2 linked regions of the Saccharomyces cerevisiae S288C genome follow. The gene in region 2 interacts genetically with the main gene of each other region. Each region holds a gene or a part of one and is shown on either strand. Other genes may lie near its edges.

Evidence for each region. Genes that interact genetically often act in the same process or in processes that back each other up.
Region 1: mutations in YJL070C (region 2) and ROG1 together harm fitness more than expected from each alone (negative genetic interaction), as found in Saccharomyces cerevisiae (2 studies listed by BioGRID).

What each region holds. Positions count from the first base shown.
Region 1 is NC_001139.9:231,950-236,014, reverse strand, and holds ROG1 (putative lipase ROG1), read left to right. Parts: upstream 1-1,507; coding exon 1,508-3,565; downstream 3,566-4,065. Other genes in the region: MRF1 (Mrf1p), read left to right, coding at 57-1,298; TIP20 (Tip20p), read right to left, coding at 3,667-4,065.
Region 2 is NC_001142.9:305,290-312,356, forward strand, and holds YJL070C (metallo-dependent hydrolase superfamily protein), read right to left. Parts: upstream 5,349-7,067; coding exon 2,682-5,348; downstream 1-2,681. Other genes in the region: DNA replication protein PSF2, read right to left, coding at 1-573; ARG2 (acetyl-CoA:L-glutamate N-acetyltransferase), read left to right, coding at 843-2,567; UTP18 (Utp18p), read right to left, coding at 5,633-7,067.

The DNA.
Region 1 (4,065 bases), on a different chromosome or scaffold from region 2:
ATATCTCAGGAATGAAAAGTTCGTAGAGCAGAACAATATATTTCATTGGTGCAAGCATGTGGCTTTCAAAGTTCCAGTTCCCCTCGAGGTCCATCTTTAAGGGTGTTTTTTTGGGTCACAAGTTGCCGTTACTAGTGCGACTGACATCAACAACGACTAACTCTAAGAGCAACGGCAGCATCCCAACACAATACACAGAACTCTCTCCGTTACTTGTTAAGCAAGCGGAAAAGTATGAAGCTGAACTAAAAGATCTTGACAAAGACCTTTCTTGCGGCATTCATTTTGACGTGAATAAGCAGAAACATTATGCTAAATTATCAGCGCTCACTGATACATTTATTGAGTATAAGGAAAAACTAAATGAATTGAAAAGTTTACAAGAAATGATTGTATCTGATCCATCATTAAGGGCGGAGGCTGAACAAGAATATGCAGAACTGGTCCCCCAATATGAAACGACCTCCTCAAGATTGGTAAATAAACTTCTTCCACCGCATCCGTTCGCAGATAAACCTAGCTTACTAGAGCTTCGACCGGGTGTAGGTGGCATTGAAGCCATGATTTTTACCCAGAATCTATTGGATATGTATATTGGCTATGCCAACTATAGAAAATGGAAGTATCGAATTATATCGAAAAATGAAAACGAAAGTGGGTCAGGCATTATCGATGCCATTCTGAGCATTGAAGAAGCCGGATCTTACGATCGTTTGAGGTTTGAAGCAGGCGTTCACAGGGTGCAGAGAATTCCTAGTACGGAGACTAAAGGAAGGACGCACACATCCACTGCTGCCGTGGTTGTGTTACCTCAAATTGGTGACGAATCTGCTAAATCTATTGACGCTTATGAAAGAACATTTAAACCTGGTGAAATCAGAGTTGACATCATGCGTGCAAGCGGGAAAGGTGGTCAACATGTGAATACGACAGACTCTGCTGTCAGATTAACCCATATCCCCTCTGGAATTGTTGTTTCCATGCAAGATGAAAGATCTCAACACAAGAATAAGGCTAAAGCATTTACGATCTTAAGAGCGAGACTTGCAGAGAAGGAAAGGCTGGAAAAGGAGGAAAAAGAAAGAAAAGCAAGAAAGAGTCAGGTTTCTAGCACCAATAGGTCTGATAAAATTAGAACATACAATTTTCCACAGAACAGAATCACTGATCATAGGTGCGGGTTCACATTGTTGGACCTGCCAGGTGTGTTATCTGGAGAACGATTGGACGAAGTTATTGAGGCAATGTCTAAATATGATAGCACCGAACGGGCAAAAGAATTATTGGAGAGTAACTGACGAACGTAACTTTTCGTTTCTTGTAAATATCATATCGTATCTATCACTTCTGTAAATCTTCTTTTCTATTGTTCTGCGCCACGTAAGAACTGACGCACATAGTAGATGCCCGAAATATGCAAAACTCTGTGAAATAAATTGTACCGCCTCAACAGTTCAGTAAGAATAGTACACAAAGAGAGTGAAGTACGAACCGTGTTTTGCTCAAGATGTCTCTGACACCAACTAATGAAATATTGTTTCATTACAAGTCTTCAGTGAAGGTTGGTGAACTTGAGAGATATGTAATTACTTATCATCTTTATGACGGTGAGGAAATTCCACCAGATTTGAATTTAAATTCCTTGTGGTTAAAGGTGAGAAATATGAATCCGTTATCGTATAGAGCTGCGTACCTAATGGGTCCATTCATGCTTTATTGCGATGTAAAAACTGCCCAATATCATCATTCCCAAAAAATAGTTGCTTCAGTTGATTACCCCAAATTTGAACCGAATGTGCAAACTCAACAAGATTTCGTGGCTGAACTTTCAGTACATAACATACGACAGAAATACGTATGGATTGCTGATGTGATGAGTCAAATATTGTTCACTACAAATACGAACGTCACTTACGAAGTCACTATTGGAACTAGTAAAGAGTCAGTAGAAAATCCGCATGATCTGCCATCTCATCTAGGTTCTTATAGCCCTAAACTTACAGTGAACAGGTTAACTACCTTGGATTTGTGGAATCTTCCCGTTCAGATTACCACACCACAGAAAAAGAAACATCTTGTAGTTTTGACACATGGTTTACATTCTAATGTGTCGACCGATCTAGTGTATATTATGGAACAGATATACAAAGCACAAAAGAATTATCCCCACGAACAAATTGTTGTGAAAGGTTATAGGGGAAATGTCTGTCAAACTGAGAAGGGAGTTAAGTATTTAGGTACTCGTTTGGCCGAATATATTATCCAGGATTTGTACGATGAATCCATCCGCAAGATTTCTTTTGTAGGTCATTCATTGGGTGGCCTAATCCAGGCTTTCGCAATAGCGTACATTTATGAAGTCTACCCTTGGTTTTTTAAAAAGGTGAATCCAATAAATTTTATTACTTTAGCTTCACCGCTTTTAGGTATAGTCACAGATAATCCCGCCTATATTAAAGTACTACTTTCATTCGGGGTTATTGGAAAAACAGGTCAAGACTTGGGTTTGGAAAATGATGTTGAAGTAGGCAAACCGCTTCTCTACTTGCTATCTGGTCTGCCCTTGATAGAGATTTTGCGTAGGTTCAAAAGGAGGACAGTATATGCGAACGCTATTAATGACGGAATTGTCCCATTGTATACCGCATCGCTATTGTTCCTAGACTATAATGATATCTTGGAGCAATTACAGAAACTAAAGGAGAACAGCAAAAAATCACCGCTAATAAATGATGCTTCAACACCTGTGAATCAAGATTTCTTCAATAAAACTTTCATTTCGCCTCTGACTAAAATGTTGAGTATACTGGCGCCACAAAAGTTTCCTACGGAGAATGGTTCCGAAATTCCTAAAGTATCATTTTTCGAGTCAGCAAGCTCAATTCTCCTTCCTCCTTTACCTGAAAGAGCGTACATAATGGATCCAGATTCAAGAGATCCTGTAATTATTCATGATAAGATATACAATGAGGATGACATTCCACAATCCGAATTTGATATCGAAGACGGTTTTTTTGGTAAAAAGAATATACTCCTTCAGGCTTTTTTTGCAGGAAAGAAAGAACGTGCGAAGTATCGAAATTTGGAAGAAACGATTGCTCGAAGGTGGCATGAAGGAATGGCATGGAGAAAGGTTGTCGTTGCTTTAAAACCTGACGCTCACAACAACATTATAGTCCGAAGAAAGTTTGCCAACGCATACGGTTGGCCCGTTATCGATCATCTGATAGATGTCCACTTCAATGGTGATGACGATGACGATAACGATGAAAATGACGATATCAATTCCACACAAGTTGTTGAACCTATTCAGAGCGTAACCGAAGGAAAGAAAAAGTATAGGAAAGCTGAAAACATTCCTCAAGAATATGGATGGTTGAATAAGGTTGAAACAAACGGAGTCTTTGACGAAGGTCCTACGGGAATGATATCAACTGTTGGTGAAATAGTCGAGGCGTTAGCTAAAAGAGGATTTAGCGCCGTAATCGACAGGAGAAATGCCTCGGAAGATCCGAATGATGAGGTCCTTCGGTTTGAAGAAATGAATAGTGATTTGGTACAATGATAGAGCTTTATATATTTATTTACGGTTTATAGAATGGTCTGGAGTTACATTTGGAATAATACTCGTCTTGTTGATTTTTTTCCTTCTCTTTTTTTTACGAGCTATAATATGTTACCATATATAATCCTATAGAGTGCATCTTGAATCTTCGTGTCCTTCAAGTACTTAATGGAATAAGCTTCTTTCAATGATGTGAAATTACCTGTTTTAATGTATTCTGGGTTTAAAAACTGCTGATTGTTTGGATCATACTTTAGCTTTAATATTTTTACTAGTTCGTGTAAACTCATACATTTATAATTGGTAGCATGTGACGGTAAGCTCAAAATGCTGCTTAAAGATTTAAAATCATGTAAAAACTGATTTAAACCGTTTTGATTAAATTTGTTCAACTTTAGAATTGACTCCGTAAAATAGTTAACAATAACATTTAACAATTCGTTCTTAACCTTTAATGAAATAGCTAGTGGGATATCCATTGAATCCAATTTGTTGATCAA
Region 2 (7,067 bases):
TTTATCCATGATTTCAGTAATGAACGGCCTCAACTCATTGATTTCTAATAGACTTAAATTATCCAATTGTAAATGAGATTCATTCAAATACTTAAGGCCTTTTAACACTTTGATCTGCCTTATTTCCCTTAAGTCTTGTATTTTACCACGTAATTCGTGAATGGGGTCATGAAAATCATCCTTAGCTTTATTGAAAAGTATACGTGCCAAGACAAGCCAGTTCCACGGCAACTCACTAAACCTATCCGGATGAGTTTTCTCATATTGTATTTTTCTATCAAGCTCTTTCGTCGTTAACCACTGTGGTGCTACAATACTGCACTTGGATTGTTGCTTCAGTAATAGAGCGATCCAAAGAACCACTTCTGTAGAACGCATGGCTACCATATTATTTAAAGCTTTGTCATCTGTAGTAATAAGTTGCCAGCGGGTGTGGTTTCCAGTTCCTCTATCATCGCCACGAATTTTTTGGCGTGTTGTTATTCTGGGAAAAATCTTTATTGGCTCGTTTTCCACAATGAACTGTATTTCTTCTGGTGAGAAAGTCTGCTGCAAATGTGCCGGTAGTGACATGCGTCTATGAAACTAGTCTTATTTCAGATCAGCCGTTGATCCTCTCTAAGTATAAAACTCTTTTTTGTTAACCATTTCATAGTTACACTTTAGGCGACTGATTTTTCATTAAATGGAAAATATCACAAGAAATTTCACGCTGGAGAAAAAAAAGGTTAGTCATCACTGATCTTCCCATGGAGTCATAAGCACGTTCGACATAAATTGTGAAAGTTAACACATTTGAAGCTAGGACCGTCAATCTAGGACACTAGTCGGTTACTTTTATCATGTGGAGGAGAATATTCGCGCATGAACTCAAGTATGATCAACCCAATGCATCTTCAAAAAACTTGATCCTTTCAGTTCTGAATACAACCGCTACAAAACGAGAGGCTAAGGATTATCTCTCAAAATATACAAATGATAGTGGGCAGCATAATCATTGTTTGTTTTTTATCAGGGACCTGCATAAAGTCGCACCAGCGATTTTGTCCCAGTTTTCAAGTGTCATAAAGAGACTAGGAATGCTAGGTTTGCGACCTATGTTTGTAATTCCGCCGTCGCCAACTCATGTAAATATACAGGCAGAGTTACTTGACAGTATCGTTACAGAAGCAGATTTAAAGCCACTTCACCTTAAGGAGGGTCTTACTAAATCCCGCACTGGGTTATATCATTCTGTTTTTTCGCAAGAGAGTCGTTTCTTTGATATTGGAAATTCCAATTTTATACCAATTGTGAAACCTTATGTGTATAATGAAGAGACTGCTTCAGAATTCATGACAAAGGATGTTGTAAAATTTATGGATTGCCTGTGCCAAGGGAATATTCCACACATTGACAAATTCTTCATTCTAAATAATGCCGGAGGTATACCTTCGGGAGAGAGAAATGATAACGCTCATGTATTCATCAATCTTTCTCAGGAACTCGAGCATTTGTCCTCGTCATTATCTCACAATATAAGCACTCTAACCAAACGAGAGCCACGCTCCCAAAACCTGTTACACAGAATGGAGGTGTACGTTAAAAAAGATGAGATATCTTCCTTAGAATGTGAATACCATGATCATTTAGAAAACCTGTTATTGATGGACAAAGTTTTATCAAATCTAGCGGCTACAGCAACGGGACTGATTACAACTGTCAAAGCTGCCGCACTATCATCAGATAGGAAAAATCCTTTAGTATATAATTTATTGACAGACCGATCGCTAATTTCTTCTTCTTTACCAAGGTTTAAAAAAAAGGACGGCGAGATAGACTCACCAGCCAACATGTTTGATGATCACGCATGGTATGAATTGCCTTCCCAACAGGTAAATGCAGCTCCTTCTAACTCAGATGCAGTTTTAGTGACAACTGTTCTCAAAAAGGGCGTCCATATCAAAACTTATGACTATAAGACGCTGACTCAATTCAACTCAATTGGGCTTCCAAAGAAGTTTCACGTACCTGAGAAAGGAGCAAAACCCTCGAGCAATAGTCCAAAACTAGATATCAACAAATTTAAATCCATCATCGATCAGAGCTTTAAAAGATCTTTGGATTTGCATGACTACATAAAAAGGATTAATGGAAAAATAGCTACAATTATTGTGATAGGTGATTATGAAGGCATTGCAATTCTTACCTATGAAGGCTCGGAGGAAAATTCCTTTGTTTATCTCGATAAGTTCGCCGTTCTACCACACTTGAAAGGCTCGCTGGGTATATCTGATATAATCTTCAATTTGATGTTCAAAAAATTTCCTAATGAGATACTTTGGAGAAGCAGAAAAGACAATGTGGTGAACAAGTGGTATTTTCAACGTAGCGTTGCTGTGCTAGATTTGTCGATTGACTTAGACCCCGAACACTGTGATGAAAAGCAAAGCCAATTTAAACTATTTTACTACGGTAACCCTCAATACGCTAAGAGGGCACTACGTGACAAGAAACGTTTAAGAGAATTCATGAGGTCTGTCAGGGACATCAAGCCAAGTTGGGAAAATGAAAAAAATATTTCATGAAACAAAGACGCATTCTCCTCCTCCTTAACTTTCAAGTTTTCATTTTCAGTTTTTAAGGTATCTATATAAATATATATATCTTACTATGCAAAGTTGTTGATATTTCACTTTACCCTACCAAATGGAGTTAATTACTCCAAAGTGATCCCGAACGAAGTTCCACTCTTGATCCAATGTCTCCTTTCTATATCTTCTTCTAATCATCGGAACGTTGTGCTTTATCGAGGTATCTTTCGCTGTATCGTACCAATTATCTATCCCACCCACGTTCTCCTCAAAGTAAGGCGCCTTTTTAACTCCAACGCCAATCCAATGAGCCTTGTACCAACCTTCATAGCCACTAGATAGCACACTTGTTCTCGACAACTCGCACAAATCTGTTGGGTTCAGCAAGTAAATACTTGCTGCTACACTGTATTCTTCAATGAGAGGTTCTAGCGTGTATGAACTATTGTAAAGAATCGATTTTGATGATAAAGAAATTTTTAGTCCCATCTTAAACATTTTCATGAAAGGATTTGTCTCATATGATCTTTGTTCGCCCACAGTGATATCTCTAGAAGGATTGATTTTGGCTGTTTCCTGGTCTTTCAAATAATCATGTTCTAGAAGCACGTTTTTATTCTTCAAAAAGGTCGATTTTTGCGAATTCAGTAATGAAACAGATGATAATGGCGCAGCTAAAATGGGTATTTGAAAGAGATAAAATAAATATTGAATCATTGTTGCAGTATCCCAAAGCGGTTCTACCTGTAGCAGACCACCATTACAAAGCAGTAAGTTGCACACTAACGATTCAACTTGATCTGTAAAATATAAATCCACTCCAAATTGGGAAGTTCTGCTGGATAGTGGAGAACAATAATTTCTTAGGGTGATTGTATTTTGAAGATTTTGTGACCGCAGAAAATTAACTTTCGCTAAACTTTTATAAATATAATACATGTAATGCGCAACAGTTGGATTGTCACCCTGTGCTGTCCAAAATTTTGGCTTACAATTCATATCAGTAAATTCTTTCCAGTAATATTCATCCGACTCTTTAATGACCAGATCCATAGAACACACATTTGATAAAAAAAACTGCAGACCAATGATATCAGTATTTACAGATGAATCTATTGGTAACTGCTCCTTTTCCAGAGTGAATAAAGGATTGAAGATAAGATCCAAAAACTCCTGGAAATTTGACACGACATTTTCCTTGAATAGTTTGGGAAAAATCCTGGCAATTTGTATATTCCAGCGGATATTATACGATACTAGCTTCCATCGTAGCAACCATTGAGAAAATTTCTTGTACCAGTCTTCACCACTGGAATAGAATTGAAAATTAACTGATACTTGGGCCAATTGGTACTTTGATTTTTCGAGGATATGAATAACGTATTTTATGAAAATTTCTGCTAGGTACTCACCTTCAATGAAATTATCAAACTCCAGAAACACTTTGGCTAATAGGTAAAACCTCATTTCTTTGCCGACCAACTTTGCTACTTTGTTAGGAGTTAGATGGTAATCTATTAGGTAAATATTTCTATACCAATCCAAGAATTCATCATCAATCAATTTCAACCCAATCGCAATGGGTTGGTCATTAGAAGAACAACCAAACTGAAAAATGTCTCTCAAACTGAGTTTCCTTGACGTTTCCGGGTCTTGATAAACTATCCTTTCAGGTTCTAAATTTATTTTCTCCCATATATATTCACTCAATTGACGTTGAGAAATACAACCACTTAAAGACAAGTCTCGATCTACCTTACGAGAATTATAAAAATCTCTGTAGGGAACATTTTTATTAGCTAAAATTTCTTTCTTAGAGTTTAGGTACTGAAACAATTCAAATTTATCTAATAAATAAGATAATCGCTTTCGTGAAACCTCGTTGAATTTATGAGATTGGATTAACTCTATTATGTATGCAAAATCATCCCTAAATTCTTGAAACGTAGGCACATCTGTTAAAAATTCTTCCTCTAGTGACTCCTCCTTACTAGAATAAGGTGAAAGTGGGTTTTGCGTATTTTCCTGATTACTTAAATGGTAAATGTATTGTTTTTTGTAATCCTCTAAATCGAAATATTCACCGGTGTATGGTACTTTTATATTTCCTTTTCCTTTCAAACCAGATTTTGTGTAGTAGTAGTAGTGATCGGTAAAGTAACTTGGGTAATAGTAGCCATGGCGGTGCGGTGTAGCGGCTCCGGTCCCAGTACTGTCTCCATCGTCATTTAAGTCAGAGTCAGAGGGATCTTGGAATCGTTTATCGTCTTCAAATCTCCAAAACTTTGGCAGTGGTTTTGGGTATAAAAACCACTTTTCAGTGTCATTTTTTATGTTTGAAATGCCATCTTGTTTGGAAGCAGCAATGTATCTTTTTCTCATTTGAGAAACCAATTCAAACGGATTAATGAAAAGATCTTTAGTTTCTTCACCCGTTTTCAGATTTGAGGGCGTGTACGATGAGACAAAGCTGTCACTTTCTCCATTTCCATAATGATGGGAAACTGAAGGAAGTGGATCAATTTTGTTTTCTTCGTCTTCAAGATCGAAAAACATAGGTGAACCTAAAACCATTTGCCTGTCAAATTCCGTGGGCAAAGAAATCATATCCATATCATCGACTGATATTTCCTTCTGTTTCAAAACAGATGGGGAGACATCACCGTCATTCTCTGACAAGACCCTGGCTTCTTTATTCTTCGTCTCATTAGGCTTAGTAACAGAATTTTGATATTCGTCAAAGAGTAACGAGGGCCTTCTCTCTACCGCCTGCATAATTCCCAGCGAGATGAATAAGTAAAGTGAGATTTAGATAACTCTTACAGAGGATATTGAGAGGACATTTTAATCAAATTCTTTAAACTCAATGTCCCCTTTTTTTCCATATATTATATTTAATTTCTCGGACAATTTTTCATTTCTGACTATAAATGACAGCAAGAAAAAAGTGGGCAGAATCATATTCAATTTCAAGTTTCTTCGCAATTTTTTTACAGTGATATTTTGTGTATGTATTTGTACATTGCTTTTAATATCTAAGTTTGTCTATAAATGGAAATTTAGTAGTGGTTTAATTTCCAGAGCCTCACTTTACCTTGTTCGTTACCCACGGCCAGTAGCCCACCAGATGGCGAAAATGCGACACTGGTAACTTTACCCAAAGGCGTCCCGCTGGTAGGCCAGTTGCTGAACACGCTACAAGAAGGCAGATGAACTAGTCTCAAAGCATCCTTGACTGCACGGGATGCCATGCACAGTATTTGACCATCAGGGGAAAATTGTAGATTAGAAATGGTAGTTGTTAGCTGGTCCAAGGCGGCGACAGGTGTAGGGGTCGACGAGGTCATAGCATTATTTCTATCGTAAAGATTAACAAATCCACTCTCACTACCTACCGCAAGCCACCTATTTTGCTTTATCTTACTTATTTGAAGAGCCGGACAAGTAGTTGTTGTCCCACCACCAACTTGGATTTTTGTTATACCCACGCCACCTTGGTCTTTCCATCTTCTTATAACATGGCCATTCTTATTCAAGTCAAATTCCCACACTTCACCATACGCGTTTACAGCAATTAAAATGGTCCTAAACTTACCACGTGAAATAGGTTGATAATCGATACAGAAATCCGTTATCACACCTTCTATCTTGCAGCCCATTAACCATAGTCCGGAAGTGGAATGTAAAATGTTAATCCAACCATTATTACCCTGTAAAAGGACAATTCCATGGACAGAATTTGTTTGTGAATTCTGCAAATGTGCAACTTTGAAATTCTCAAATGATCTTTGAGTGGACTCATGTCCATACAATCTGGAAAATTTTTCGATTTTGGCAGTCTGTGAATGAGTTAAATTTTCTAAGGATAAGTCCCAGGAATGCATATATCTTCTTCTACCGGCGGTGAATATATTTTGTTGATTTTGGTTTGATAGAGAAGTATAGAAAGTACATGTTTGTATTGGAGACCCAACCAGGTGCAAACTTGTCACTAGATGGTTCGTTTTCCCGTCAATATGATATATTCTTAAGGTCTTATCATACCCACCCGTTAACAGTAGAGGCTTAGAAGGATGGAATGAAAGAGATTGTATGGCGGAATGAGACGGGTGTGATGCATTTGCATCTTTAAGACGCACAATGTCAAGTTTCTTAGGGGGTAATAGTTTGGAATTCGATAAAGTGTCTTTATAATTGTAAGTAGTAGACAGGATCTTCGTTAGAGCATTAATATCTCCATTAATAACATTATTAGAGCCTTCTTCTTCATCGTCTTCTTCGTCATCTAATTCAGAATCAGATTCATCGTCCACCCATTTGGGCCTTGGATATATCTTTTCAAACTGAGATCTCAATCTGTTGATGTAATGAACACCGTTGATTTTGGACTCGTTATAGGAGGTTCTTAATTTCTTTGTCTTATTGGTAACAAGAATAGGCACTTTAATTTTTTCATCATCCGAATCTATCCAAGCAGCTTCTTCAGAGTCCTCA